Tribolium castaneum: one gene and its partners. The protein of the gene in region 4 binds, or shares a complex with, the protein of the main gene of each other region. Links are inferred from orthologs where the notes say so. Each region holds a gene or a part of one and is shown on either strand. Other genes may lie near its edges. The genes, in order: Nprl2, Sec13, mio and Nprl3.

Region 1 (4,101 bases), on a different chromosome or scaffold from region 4:
TTCATCGCTATTTTAAACAAATTTGAAAAAAAAACAGGCACTCTGGATTTCAATTGAGATTTAACTTGCAATAAAAAATTTGGTACAATGAAATTGTATGAAAATTTGAATGCTTGATGGCAGCATTATTTATAGGTTTATAGTTTTTTTTTATTAAATGATAAAAACGTCAACGTTTAAACGATTTGATTGTCATGGATACTCAATCGTAACCATGGAAATAAAGCAACAGTAGCTACGGAAACAAATCATTTTTAAGCAAATCTTTATTATCACAGTCATTTCCACAACAGGACGATATTGTGGTCTCTCTCCAGCTGGTCCTCGAGTTGTTGCGTGGCAACGCCAGTGGCGCAGCAAATCTCATCCAAATTAGCCGCCCCCGAGAGCGATTTTTGTAATTCAGAAGTATCACTCAACAAAATCGGATACTTATGAACCCGTCGAATCAGACCTTCCAACACTCCAATCTGTACCAATTTCCTTTCGTTTATTCGCAAATTAGCTGGATTAAATCTCAGGCACAAGTCCCGCATGGTCGTGCCCCTTGTCATGGCGGCAAACATGCGAAAAACGTCGCGAAAATTGGGTAACTGTCTTTGGGACACCGCCACATACTTCAAACATTTGTTCTAAAAACGAGTTATTCTTTCGCTGCTAGTTATAAATAATTAAGGCTAAAGGGGACACAGAGTTAAATCAAGTGTGCGATAAAGACAAGTATAATGAAAATGATTTTGCTGTTTTTGGCGATTTTTGTAATCCAATTTTAAATCAAAAAGTTGAATTCAGTTTATTAAAGAATTAGAATTTGTGCCAACGTAACACTTTTTTGAAAAAAAAATGGCATTTTTTGTTTAAAATTTTAATGAAATATATAATAATTATAAAATAGGTTAAAATTTAATTTGACTATTTTTGGTAAAAAAAATTGTAATGAAGATTTCTAATAATGGGAGATTGAAAAAGCTGAGCGGACTGCAAGTAATGTCATATCATATCGAAATAATTATGACAGCGATTTTAGGGGTGTTACTCTTTTTGATAGTGACTGTACACCTGCTTCCCATTCCTAGAAAAAGCTTAACAAAAAAACTGAAAGGGACTAAATTAATCGACGAAACAAATAAAAACTACTCGTATAATATCCAGAATTCAGCGTTTGCTAGTAAGTAATTTTTTACTCGTACGTACCTGAACTTCTTTTAATTTTTTTTAGAACGACAGTTTGGTTAGTTAATGTTTCCATATTTTTAATTTTATTAATACAACTATTAATATTTTCAATTCATTGATAATAATTAATATAAGAAAGTGTAGAAACAAAAATCGAGTGCATAGAGATACAGAAAAAACCTATACTTCTAGAAGTTTTGCATATCATCTGAAGGAAAATGAATAATAGGCAGACAAAACTAATCTTTACTAAATGACTTCTAGATATTGGAGTTAAATTTTCAGCAAATATTCGTCGTCCTACCTTGGTTTTACAAAATATTTTTTATTTTAAAAATTCATGAATTTTTTTTTAAATACGTCAAAAAATAAAAAACTAATACGTTAGCGCAAATTTAATTACGATTCTGTGATCAAAACTTTTTTCGATTTCGATAATAAAAAATTAATTCCGCGCCATCTGACGGCCTAGAAACACAGTGAAACGTGTTCCCCTTCAACCTTAATGAGTTGTTATTGTTATTACTTGTAAATTGACATCGTGAGCCAGAATATTTAACTGCGGCGTCGTGCAATAAACATTCCCGTATTGGAACAAAGGCACTAAAGCAACGACTCCGTAATAGACGAGGTTTTGGACACAAGCCTTGACCAAATTATTTTCGACATCGGAGAGGGCCGCGATTCGGGCCACGTGATTGAAGCCGTCAATGTAGGGGGCCACTTGTTGCGTGGTCAAGTCCCACTGCTGGTCCGGGAGGGGCTTGATGAAGACAGGGACCTGGTGGTCGGCCACGGGGGCCGGGTCGCTGCGAACGTGCACGACCTTGAGATGGGTGGCGGTGGGGCCCTCCGTGAGGGCGCACTCCCCCTTCGTGTTCAATTCCTCGATAACTTGCTTCAAAATTGGGGCGAGTTTCGTTGCTGCTTTACCGTCCGATAAAAAACTGCTTTCAATTTCCATTGCCATTAGGTAGTCTGATAGTTTTATAACGACGGGTTCGTAATGAACGGTTCGGACGTTACTGTCACACACTAGGCATAGATTGAAGTGGTAGGCGTTCCGGGGATATTTTTTGTCGTCAATGCGGACCGGGAACCCCAATATTTTATAATCCGATAGAGTACTAAAATTAAAATCAACAAGCAATTAATTCATCGATTTCGCTTCGGTTTTTTACACAGTGATTGTACTCTTCTGTAACTCCGCTTTCGTGATTATGTAAACGCTAATACTGTCGAATAGTTCCTTTGAAATGTACTGCTCTGGTTCCTGGAACACACTTGCAAAATCACGTAACATTTTTTTTTTAATGTTTACTTGACACGAAATGATAGGCCCGGCTGTTGGATGAAATTCACAGAAAAAAATGCACCGAATGGGGCCCTCCTGACTTGTGTGATCAAAGTTGTTCAGGACATAACCTGTATTTTCCATGTTTTGTACGTTTCGTAACATTTGACGTGAAATATAATTCCATAGATCTGAAAATTGCGGAATTAGCCCGGTAAAGCTTTTTTTGGTAAAAATTTATTTTAAAACCTGGAATAAATAAACATCCACATTGAACAAGAATCCAATTACAGGTTTCTGTACGGCGCCACTACTGAATTTAAATGGCGGTAAAAGTTAATTCGGATATTTATAGAGCATTGTACAAATTTTGTGGCTAATTGCATTGTCTATGTGGACTGACTATTGTATCATTGGTACAAAGAATACATGTTCACAAATAAAAGATAACGCAAAAAAAAAACAGAAATAAACTGTTTGTTCACTTACTTTTTCGAAAACTTATTACAAAAACATTGAAAAACCTACCTTTTGCAACAATTTATGGTTAAATTAAGGAGGGCTATAACTTAGGAAACGAAACGAAATACAAAATCGCTGGATTTTTTGAACCCAAAGAAATAGTACGGTAGAAAAAAAATGAGGGCGCTTTGAGCGTTATACCTCTCGGCGCCAAATTGTTTAAAATTAATTTAAATCCAATTCATCATTTCCTTGGAAAAAAATGCAGAAATGTTGAGCTTCGCACTTTTAACAGACTGAAAAAAACTGCCAACTCAAATTCTTATAAGAATAATGACAAAAAAATACTTAACATAAAAAAATTTGCGCTTCGCTACATATTTTTCAAGACGCTGCAAATACGGTTAATGAGACAAGCAAAATGTTAGGAAGAAATTTGTAAAAAAATATTTTTTGTAAATAATACGAGTGCAAAAACACAAGCTTAAAATCCGAGGACTGTTGTTATGTAACGAGCGTATGCGGCATAAAATATTACCAACAAAAAAATATATTTTACGACAAAACATTTGCATGTTGTTTATGTCTTACTGTTAAGAATTTAATGCTTTATCTGTATATTTTTTCTTTGTTTGCTATGTTAAACATTATACGACCATTTTTTAAATTAATATTTCATTGCAGTACTTAATCTCAATTACGGTTTTGTAGATTTTCAGAAGTATTATACAATACAATTTTTTCAGTGTAATTGCTTTAGTAACACTTTGTAACCAAAAATTAAATCTTTTTCACGTTTTGTCCATTTTCAAATTCCAACAAATTACAATTTTAATCACGAATAACCGCATGAACAAAGCTAAAGCGCATACTAAAGTCGGAATTTAAATAAGGAATTAAGAAAATTTCGTTATTGTTTTCGAATAGTATGAAATGTCATCACCAGGGGGTGTCTAGTTAATCTAATTCCCAAATATTTTTTAAACACAATAGTTTTTCCACTTGTAAAATAATCAAACACTTTACAACGTCCTGCAAGGCTATTTCAAAAAACAATCCTTTTTTCCCGACAAATTTTTAATTTCAGAAGTTGCTCAAATTGTTACACCTACAGGTTGGTAGCACCGTCACTCAGACATTTCCCGCGTTTCGTTCAATGACCATTTATT
Region 2 (2,742 bases), on a different chromosome or scaffold from region 4:
CAATAGTTTTAAAGCATTCTAAAGAACATCTATTAGAAATTTGCGATCTGTGGGAGTATTTGGCTGTAGACAAGCAACTTATCTACACTTATCCACCTTCATGAAACTTTTACAAAACCGTAATACTAGATCTAATCAGCATTTAAATTGTTACTTGGGTCCTTTACCGAATATCGAGAATATTTTCCATCTGATCGGTGTTAGTCTTGGTGGTTTGGGCCGCCTTGTCTGCTAAAATGTCCGTCAACATTTCGGTGTAATAGGTGTTTGAGCTTTCCCTCTCTTTGTTCTTTTTCACAACTTTGAGTATCTCCTTCCTGACTTTAATTAAATCAGTTTGGTTGAAAAACGACAATTTTATGTACTTCTGTTGCAAACCAATCAAATGATTTGGCTGAAAAATCGCTCATAAGTTTAGCAACAACAATTGCTCGCTCTACCAAATCCAAATCCTCCTTTGTGACAACTTCAATTTTGCCAATTGTCCCCGAGAATTTTTTCGTAAGGAACTGGCTCACTTCTTGAATGAGCTCAATTTTCGTAAGAATGTAAAAATAAGGCATGTAACAGTACGACACTTTAAAGCGGGCGCCGTCCTCTTCCATGAAATAGAAGTCAACAGCCGCCACCAACCTCTTATCCTCATCTAAAATCTCACTCTACTCAGACATTATCAAGCCAGCCCCTGGTCCATAACCACGTTACCGCGTGCATGTTTAACAAAAATCCGGTCCTTTCTAAGTTATCCCGCACCCGCTCGAAGCCGTATTTTGCGTCAATCGCGTCATTTTCAATCACTTGGCGGAGTCTCACCTCCGAGGTTTCCTCTCTAAGGCAAAATACTTAAAAACGGGTGAATGTCCCTGGCACGTACCGTGAGAAGTCCGTGGGCTTTTTTGCCAACTTGGGGTCCCGCTGGGGCCGGAACTTTTCGTTAATTTCATCCATTATTGCAGACTAACCTGTTGACAAAACAACATGACTTTCGCGCTCATTTTGACACTAGGGGAATTTCGGGTCAGGTTTTTTCAAACATCAACATAACCTTTTTCTTTGGGCTATTTATCACGTAGTTTTGGCCGAGTCGCCACTCTTTAACCCAGAATTTGTATCTGATTGATAATTTGGGCCCCAAATCGGCCAAAACTGAACGAATTAGAGGCGACGTGAGTCGGTTGGTAACCGTGTGTCAAATGTCAAGCCACGTCTGTTCCAATTTCTGGTAGTTTTAAACTGGGAAAATGGTCTCAATTTTGAATTCTATCGACACGGGGCACGAGGACATGGTGCACGACGCCGAAGTGGACTACTACGGGCTGCGCCTGGCCACGTGCTCGTCGGACAACAGCGTCAAAGTGTACGACATCAAGAACGGGGGCACAGCCCTGATCGACGACCTCAAGGGCCACTTCGGGCCCGTGTGGCAGATCGCCTGGAGCCACCCCAAGTTCGGGAACCTCCTCGCCTCCTGCTCGTACGACCGCAAGGTCATAATCTGGAAGGAGCAGAACGGGAAGTTCACCAAGTACTACGAGTACGCCAACCACGATTCCAGCGTGAACTCGGTGCAGTTCGCCCCGCCTGAGTACGGGCTCGTGCTGGCCTGCGGCAGCAGCGACGGCTCGATCTCCATCCTGAGCTACATCTCAGAGACGCACAACTGGGACGCGAAGAAGATCCAAAACGCCCACGCCATCGGCTGCAATGCCGTGAGCTGGGCCCCCGCCATCACCCCCACGTCGGGGGAGTTCCGGGACGCGGCCAAGCTGGTCAAGCGGCTGGTGTCCGGGGGCTGCGATAATCTGGTCAAAGTGTGGCGGGAGGAGGAGGACCGGTGGGTGGAGGAGAACAAGTTGGAGGTGCACTCGGACTGGGTGCGGGACGTGGCGTGGGCCCCCTCGGTGGGGCTGCACCAGCACACCATCGCGAGCTGCTCGCAAGACAGGAGGGTCATCATCTGGACGAGTGACGATGGCAACAACTGGAACTCAACGGTCCTCCAGACTTTTGACGATGTTGTCTGGAATGTCAGTTGGTCCCTGAACGGGAATATTCTGGCCGTGTCAGGGGGTGATAACAAAATCACGCTTTGGAAGCAAAACTTGCAAGGGAATTGGCAGTGCGTCAGTGATGTGGTTAAGGGCCAGGGACAGATCAATAACCAATAGGTGTATTTTTTAAATAAAACGTAATTTAAGTGGAACTGTTTATTGAGTAAACATATTACAAAAAACTTAAATTATTTCTTGGCTTTGGCCTTGCGTTCCTGCGCACGTTGGCGTTGTTTGGCGGTGCTCAAGTTGTGCCTCTTTGAGAACCTCTGGTTCTTCAAAAACTTAGAGTCCATCTGAAAGACACTTATAAATTCACACCAAACGAGTATTTTTTGCATTTTTACTCACACCAAGGGTTGATTCGTGACGGAACTGCTTCGGTTTTTTAATACCGTTACGGTGGGCCTTACGGTCTATAAAACTCGAAAATTTTGCAAAATTACAAAAAACGGACACTAAACTTACTTTGGTTGTGATTGGTGTGGTTCTTTGACTTGGCCATGTCTTGAAAATTGGGAAATTAACTCCACGAACAAGCTTCCAAGATGGTTGGAAAAAGAAAGGTTATGGCCGACCACGTTGTCACAGATTCTGGAGAATTTTAGATTTGTTAGGTTGGTGGTCTCGTGTAATAACCTCACTTTTGGTTAGCCCCCCTTGGAAAATGAGGGCTGCCGCAGCGCTATTT
Region 3 (4,265 bases), about 2.7 Mb from region 4:
ATTACACGATAAGTGAGTGGATCGAGCAAAAGATATATCCTTACATAATCCAGTTGGAAAAAATACAAAACCAAAGTATTGCGTTGAAAAGTGTCAATCAATGGCCGGCCAGGCCTTTGCCCCCGTTAAGGGACTTGCAAAGGCTGGGCGTGCCTTTACCTACAAATTAATTGGTAAAATTGTGTTCATTTTATTTGATATTTCAAGGAACGGTAAATACTCATGTGTACAAATTTTATTTATACAACTCATTTTGGAAGCGGTGTTTTTTACCCAATTAAAAATAGTACTTAGTTAAAACTGTACTTAGAGTTAACGATTTTTAATAAACTGCAACAATTAATCAACACAAACGCACATACACAAGACGTATCCATAAAACACTCAGTTTGTAGTTTATTTAGCCAACAAGTTTGACAATCGTCGATTAGTCGCCGATTAGCAAACGATTAAACGAAAAGTAAATTTAGGGTACTTCTAGCATCAAGGAAATAATTTACTTTTTCAACTTAATTCACTCATTAGAAATAAATGCATTCACGCACGTTAAAAAAATTTCGATTAATTTGGTGCCTTCACCGATTATGACCACCAAAACTCCGTTTTGATAAATAAAAGCCAAGCCAATGAGTCATTTTTAATATTTGATTAATAGAGATTGTAATGTTATTTACTTAAAGTTGTATATTATATTTTAAGATGTTGTTTGTTTGAAAATACAGTTTTTGTGATCTGATTTTAAGTTGTTAAATAATAGATCTGAAATCAAGAGATGTTAGCTGTTGATTACGAAGTGATGAATGTATAACAAAAATTAATAAAGCTTTAGAACGTGTGATTGTTTCGTTGTTTATGCCCAGAAATAAAAAATGATTCTCCCAATTTCAATTTTTTGGTGATTAATGGAAATCTTATTGTTTCTTATCGCCCATTTGTTTGTCCAATTATCTCTTACATAAATAGTGATTTATTGTAAGAACATGGAAATTGGCTTAGTTGTTGGTTTCTTCTACTGTTGAAGTCGACAAACTGAAAATGTTCAGCATGTAAGTATGAAGACAACAAAAATATAAAAGTACAAATGTTCGGTATTATTAAAAATTCAAGTAATATTCATTTTATGAGTGCACTTGTTGGTGTACGTTGCCGATAACAATTTAAACGACTCAAAATACAATCGTTTTATTAATTTTTTATAAAAATCACAGTTTATTTCTCCCCAACCCCAATTTTATTAATTAAAGAAAGAAATCAGAAGTAGAACAGACAACTAGGAGGGCACCTTTAACACACATCGTGTTTTTATCAAATGTAACCCTTTTTAAAGTAAAAAATTAAGGAATTTGCCCTGTTTCTCAAAATTACTCTTTAAAAAAAAAGGATTTTAAAGGTAGATTTGATTCAAAGTTTTCGCTCGCGCCGTGGAATGGCAGTGGCACCAACGCGAAGAACCAAAAGAAAACAAAAACATGACCGTAACCTCAAAGCCAAAATACATCGCAAATTCGCCAATTGTTAACCCGTTGCCTTTTTACTTATTCTAAGTATTTAATTACCGTTTTAGCTTCCATAAAATGTCCTCGAAACTGGAAATCCAGTGGACCCCCATCACCAACAAATTTATCACGTGGGGTTCCGAAATTTGCTTGTACGAGGTGCACCAAGACCGCGATAACGTTTTGCAAAGTATTAACTCATGGCCATGATCCCAATCTTACGAAAAACTTGCAGATATTAAGCTATCAAGCACGACTTCCGCCAATTTACTGGCGACAAACACCAACCACCACTACGTTAAATGCCTGGATGTTTACCCAAAATCCGATGCCGATTTGTTGCTAGCTGTGGGTTTATCAAATGGACGAATATCACTGTCGACATTCGGCCCCACGGAGTATGACGCCTTGGGGTTGACTGGGAAAGAACTGGTGCCGAGACATGCAAGGCAGTGTAATGCCGTGTGCTGGAACACAATTGAGACTAGTTGGGTGGCTGCCGGGTTAGACAAGTACAGAGCGGACAATTCCGTTCTCATTTGGGACATTATGAAGTCGTCCCAAAACAACGAAAGCAATTCGGGAAGGATGGCGGTTAACACCATGGCCCCAGGGGTGGAGCTCGCAAAACCCATAGCCGAATTTGGGGTTTCCGAAACCGCCCACAGCATGGCCTGGTTCAGCAGCAACAGCAAGGTGATTGCTGTCGGGATGAACTTGAAAAATATCAAGTTTGTCGACATCAGAGGTATTCTTAGTCTTTTTCTTTCTCAATTATTGTGTCTCACAATTTCTTAAATGTCTTTCCATTTGTGAAATATCAAAATCATGTGTTAATTGATATTCCCTTTCTTTTCCAGTTAATTTAGTCGATTTGGATGAATTCTTTTTATGTAAACAAAGGCCATATTTTTTCGTTAATCTAATTAAAAATAAATATATTTGGAACAATAAAGCGTAACATACATTATATTATGTGGATATTTCTTACAATCTTGCAAGTATGTGTCCATATTTATGTTCAACATAATAATAATAATAATAATAATAATAATAATAACAGACCTTTATTAAAGAAAAATGGGGGCGAAGTCTAGTCAAAGACTATTCACCTCAACTCCCCAAAAAAAGAATTATAAAGATATATAAAAAAATATCAAACAATAAGAAAAATAAAACAAGTAATATAAATAACTTCAGAAAGGTACAAATAGAAAACTTAAAACTAAAAAAGAAGCAATAGAGTAAATATGGAAATGGAAACGTAGCATGCGATGATGAACACCATAATTAACCATGGAGAGCAAGAAATCTTTGTAGAGTGTACGAAATTTATTCACCGAAACATTCAACTGAAAGAGTACAGTGGAGTTAAAAACTTTAACACCATTATAAGTTAGCGAGCGTTGAAAGATGGATGAACTAAACTGAGGCATAGAGATTTGTGTATTATGATGAATGTTGACATTGTGAATGCTATTTCTAAATCTAAATTTTTTCTAAGGTAGAATGGAGACGAAGTTGTCATAAGTTTAAACATAAGTGTACCCAATTGGTGTCGATACATATTTTCAACTTTCAACCAACGTAGGTCGAGTATTTTAGACAAAACATGATCGTATTTGTTCAAACCAAAAATGAACCTACAACAACTATTTTGGATTTTCTGTAATTTGTACTTTGTGATATTATCTAAGCAGGGATAGTATAAGATTAAGCAATATTTCATAAATGACATAACTAAGGTTTCTGTTAACTTTTTACGTAATTTGAAATTCAAAATTAAATAGTTCGCGTATAATAACTTAAGAGCAGAATATGATTTTTTAGGACCATATTAACATGAGATTTAAAACGACAATTTTCCGGACACTGAGGTTTTTATTTTACTGAACATCACACAACAATATTACTCCTATGTTCAATTTTTTTCTTTCTTTCACATATACTTCTGTTACATTCGACTGCATAATAAAACGAACTTCAAAGGTATAAGGTATATTTCTTCTCGCGGGGACGAATAAAATTATTTTAACTGAATAATGAAAATTCTACAAAACTGTTGACTTTAGACAATGAAACCTGGGTCTTTTTGAACATCGCATAGTTTTTTTTGTCGATGCTCAGCACTTCTTTTGGCAGTGTTTTGAGTTCTTCTGTATGTTGAATAAATTTTCGTGTTTGGCAAAACATTGAATTGTTGTCCCAAATTATTTGCCATTGAATCATTTATTCATCAAATTGATTATTAAACCACGTACTTCGTTGCTTATTACACCAATTGTAAACCATTACCACAACGTAGTAAAATAAATGGGAAAATCATTTAAGAAATTGTGAAAAAAAGGAAGAAAACTAAAAGAAAAAAACTACGTGAGTCTAAATAAGAACACTTTTATTTTGACTCACGCTGTGGTCGAAGATTATTCAATAGTTACTTGTAGATCCTAACAAAATCACAAATTCTACGCTAACCAAGGCCGTTTTTGGCGTTTGCATGGACCCGAACGACGACCGGCATTTGGCGTCATTTTTCGAGAATAATATTTACGTTTGGGATACGAGAAATTTCGAAAAACCCATCCTGACGCTGCACCAGAACAAGCCTGTGATCAAAATTGCCTGGTGCCCCACAAAGTACATTCCCAATCGTGCATAAAATTCGAAATTTTTGTTTATTTCCTTAGGTACAATCTTTTGGGGTCTTTGCAAAAAGAGAGCTCCGTGATTAACTTATACGACATACAGCACACTGTAATCGGGAACGAG
Region 4 (3,215 bases):
TTTAATCCGCAATTAAATGCATGATTAACTCATCACATGATCAAATTGAACCAACTTGATTGGTTCATTCGCGTTGTTAACTTTTAACAACAAATTAAAATTTAATGGCGCTTTCTATAAACCGGTCCTTCAATATACAAATATTTTTTGTTAAGCAACAAAGATCTCATCAGACCGAGGTTCAGACCAACAATAACACTAATGCGGAGAATACTCAAGACACGGTTGAAGATCTTTCCAGTACTTCCTCAACAAAAAATGCGTAATTTAAAGGATTTAACCGTTGTACACAGCAAAGAAATATTTTTATGAATACCCTCAAACACCTGTGAAGAATAAATAAAATAGTTATCCATGTTTTGAGATGTAATATCAAAATTAAACCTTGTTAATTACAAATCCTTTAATTTTGGAAACTAAAAAAAAAAACTATACATAAGGCACAGAGGAAAAATGATCTCAGTAGAGGTAAAAAATGTGTTAAAGATTCACTAATCTATACTGTACTGAAAATTCTGTATTTTATTATTTAATAGACAACCACAAACTTGTAATTTCTTTATTCAACCAGTAAAAAATTAACTACAAAAATACGAAGATTGTAACAGTTGTAATAAAATAATTAGTGAAAACAATGAATAATAGTCAACACGCTCACGTGTATGAAAACATAGCTATAGCCGGATCCTCCGTTTCGTACGTAATCAAAACATCCCTAAACTTATCCAAGAGCTGCAACAACTGACTGCGCCGTAAGTTCTCCAAATACATTATCTCCTCAATGTGGTGATTCCCATGAAAATAACCTTTGCGACACAATCGGGCAAACAATCGCAAATCCTCTGGATTATTAGTTGCCGGTATCTAAACAAACTTTTTTTGTAATAGTTACAACAGTAACTACACCTACTTTAAAAATATTCCCGCGTTCCTCATCAGGAAAATCCAACAGCAACTCCTCCTGATAATCCTGTTTTTCGTCCTCAACCGACGTAAAACTCACATTTTCGAGACTAAAATAACGCAAACTTTAAAAAAACACCCAAATTTCAAACACAACACGACTTTATACTGCGGTTGATCAAATCTGATTCGCTGCGAAGCTCGGGCGTTTCCGACACCGTCGACGTGCCGCTTTCGGACTCGGCTCGCGAGTGCTCGGACGTACTCGGGTGATACGAGCTCGAGGACAATACATTTCTAAGCACAAATAAATGACGCAACCAATAATGACGCCAACTTGATTTACAATACCCTATGTTTCTTTGTGAAACGATCCGTTCGTCCTTTTCCCTGGGCACTGCCAACCCGTGATCTGTTGGCATATACTGCACATAAGTGTGCAGTTGCAACAGTAGATGGTGTTGCAACATCCAGATAATAGTCTGTACTAAATGAGACTGTTGGGCCGGATGGCACAACGGGTTGCACTTCTGGCCCAAAGAGGTCGGTAGCGCGAAATCGCTAATCACACGAATTAAATTCGCTGTGGGGAAAGCCTCTGAGAATTTGTCAATCAGAGGTGAATTCAGATGAATGGGGGCGTCTGGAGCTATCACATATTTGTTAGTCAAGCAAATGGGGAATATAACTGTAGCTTTAGCCCAGTAAACTAAATGAGCTGTGAGCTCAAAAACCTGAAATTATTTATTTATTTATTTAATTGGCGATGTGGGACGCCGTTTACATGGTGGAGGGTCAAGTCGGCGTCGGCTGCTAAAGTTTGCAAGTTTTTTATTGGAGAATATTGCTTTAGCATTCGTTCTAAGGATGGGGAGCCATCCAGTCCAGTGAAATCGGCCATTTGCTGGATGGGGTGCAGTAATAATAAACTGTGGTAAGGGCGTAAAGCCTTCAAACACCTACATAGTAGAGAATAAGGCACTGGACACGCGGCTCGCTTTGAATTTATTTATTTATGTTGGCAACATTGAATAGTTTATTTGTGTCCTTAAGGTTTCCAGGTCTAGTGACTTATTTTAGAAAGAATACTATTAAACTGTAATAAAATTCATAACCTGAATATAGGCAATTTTTGTAAAAAAAAACAGAAACAGATCGCTTTTTGTTTTTCCTTTCCCCTCATTTAGTGAACATGGTTCGAAAGCAGTAAAACGCACTATTTGTTTTCTAAATATTGTCAATGCCCAAGTTATAAAAAATTAAAGCAGTATGGAATTATTAACTAAAATAAAATTTGTAACTTGGATATAAGCGATTTTTTTGTTTTTTGTTTTTTTTTGCACATCAGTTTTTGTTTTTGTTTATCTGTTTTCAAAAATGCCCAGCCACTTTTAACGTTACACAAATGTAACGAATATATCCAAAGCCTACGCCTAAAGCTAGAGGTGGCTGTGCATTTCTGACAACAAATAAACAAAAACCATATACATGAAACAGTAGGCAAGGAAAAATAAAAATTGACCTGTTACGGGAATTTTCACTAAAATCGGCTAAATCAAAGAATTTTATTCCAGTTAAAAATTCCATTCTGTATAAGCTTTTACCGAAGGTAACAACAATTTTGAAGTAAATGCTTAATGAAAAAAGCATTTGCTTTATTTTATTCACTTTGTTTTGAGAATATTCTCGACTTTAAAGCAAATAATTGCTAAAAAATGCTTTACTTTCAGTAAAAGCTTATATGTACTTCCATTTTTACTTATACATTTTAGAGCATTTACTTGCAAAATTTTAAGTAAAAGCACTATTTTGAATATATTTCTTTATTTTTTTTAACATATTTGAAGTAAAAGCGTAGCTCGTTTAAAAAGAATCAATTATTATAACAAATTATTACAGATTTTCTGGCATATACATCATTTATATTAAATTTGTGGAAAAATTAACCCGGCACATCCACCATAATAATAATAAAAATCCATTTTTATTTTTTTTAAGATATGCTTGTTGTACATTTTCCATTATTATTTGGTTTCTATGTGAAAATAACGTTCCAATTTAGAACATAGATTTTACAAAAAAAAATTTAATTCTACCAAATGTTCTAAGTGTCAATCAGACACAATACCCATCAATAAACTATTGATCATTGGGTGTAAAATGGGAACCCTTAATAAATTATTAAACCATGTCATTATATTCACATTGAAAGTTTAGAACATTTGTTTAGAACATTTTGTTCTAAATGTATACAAGTATCACGGAATAAATCAATTGTTCAAAAACTAAAGCTAAAATTTTCTTCGCTTTGA

The links.
Region 1: Nprl3 (region 4) and Nprl2 share a complex: the UniProt entries of both Drosophila melanogaster proteins name them as parts of the GATOR complex. The link is inferred for Tribolium castaneum from reciprocal best matches to the Drosophila melanogaster genes Nprl3 and Nprl2.
Region 2: Nprl3 (region 4) and Sec13 share a complex: the UniProt entries of both Drosophila melanogaster proteins name them as parts of the GATOR complex. The link is inferred for Tribolium castaneum from reciprocal best matches to the Drosophila melanogaster genes Nprl3 and Sec13.
Region 3: Nprl3 (region 4) and mio share a complex: the UniProt entries of both Drosophila melanogaster proteins name them as parts of the GATOR complex. The link is inferred for Tribolium castaneum from reciprocal best matches to the Drosophila melanogaster genes Nprl3 and mio.

Annotation. Positions count from the first base shown.
Region 1 is NC_087399.1:8,015,080-8,019,180, reverse strand, and holds Nprl2 (GATOR1 complex protein NPRL2), read right to left. Parts: upstream 2,861-4,101; 5' UTR 2,720-2,860; intron 2,662-2,719; 5' UTR 2,636-2,661; coding exon 2,498-2,635; intron 2,450-2,497; coding exon 2,358-2,449; intron 2,304-2,357; coding exon 1,703-2,303; intron 633-1,702; coding exon 279-632; 3' UTR 252-278; downstream 1-251. UniProt on the Drosophila melanogaster protein: An essential component of the GATOR subcomplex GATOR1 which functions as an inhibitor of the amino acid-sensing branch of the TORC1 signaling pathway.
Region 2 is NC_087396.1:21,704,994-21,707,735, forward strand, and holds Sec13 (protein SEC13 homolog), read left to right. Parts: upstream 1-1,178; 5' UTR 1,179-1,241; coding exon 1,242-2,168; 3' UTR 2,169-2,203; downstream 2,204-2,742. Other genes in the region: PolE1 (DNA polymerase epsilon catalytic subunit 1), read right to left, coding at 168-394, 441-659, 706-829, 875-948; RpL29 (large ribosomal subunit protein eL29), read right to left, coding at 2,240-2,347, 2,403-2,467, 2,520-2,556; small ribosomal subunit protein mS37, read left to right, coding at 2,719-2,742. UniProt on the Drosophila melanogaster protein: Functions as a component of the nuclear pore complex (NPC) and the COPII coat. At the endoplasmic reticulum, SEC13 is involved in the biogenesis of COPII-coated vesicles.
Region 3 is NC_087395.1:14,780,371-14,784,635, reverse strand, and holds the start of mio (GATOR2 complex protein MIOS-B), read left to right. Parts: upstream 1-1,410; 5' UTR 1,411-1,514; intron 1,515-1,564; 5' UTR 1,565-1,574; coding exon 1,575-1,686; intron 1,687-1,731; coding exon 1,732-2,244; intron 2,245-3,940; coding exon 3,941-4,133; intron 4,134-4,183; coding exon 4,184-4,265. Other genes in the region: hexosaminidase D, read left to right, coding at 1-170. UniProt on the Drosophila melanogaster protein: An essential component of the GATOR subcomplex GATOR2 which functions as an activator of the amino acid-sensing branch of the mTORC1 signaling pathway.
Region 4 is NC_087395.1:17,468,516-17,471,730, forward strand, and holds the end of Nprl3 (GATOR complex protein NPRL3), read right to left. Parts: intron 1,863-3,215; coding exon 1,688-1,862; intron 1,638-1,687; coding exon 1,255-1,637; intron 1,201-1,254; coding exon 1,066-1,200; intron 1,014-1,065; coding exon 911-1,013; intron 865-910; coding exon 655-864; 3' UTR 546-654; downstream 1-545. UniProt on the Drosophila melanogaster protein: An essential component of the GATOR subcomplex GATOR1 which functions as an inhibitor of the amino acid-sensing branch of the TORC1 signaling pathway.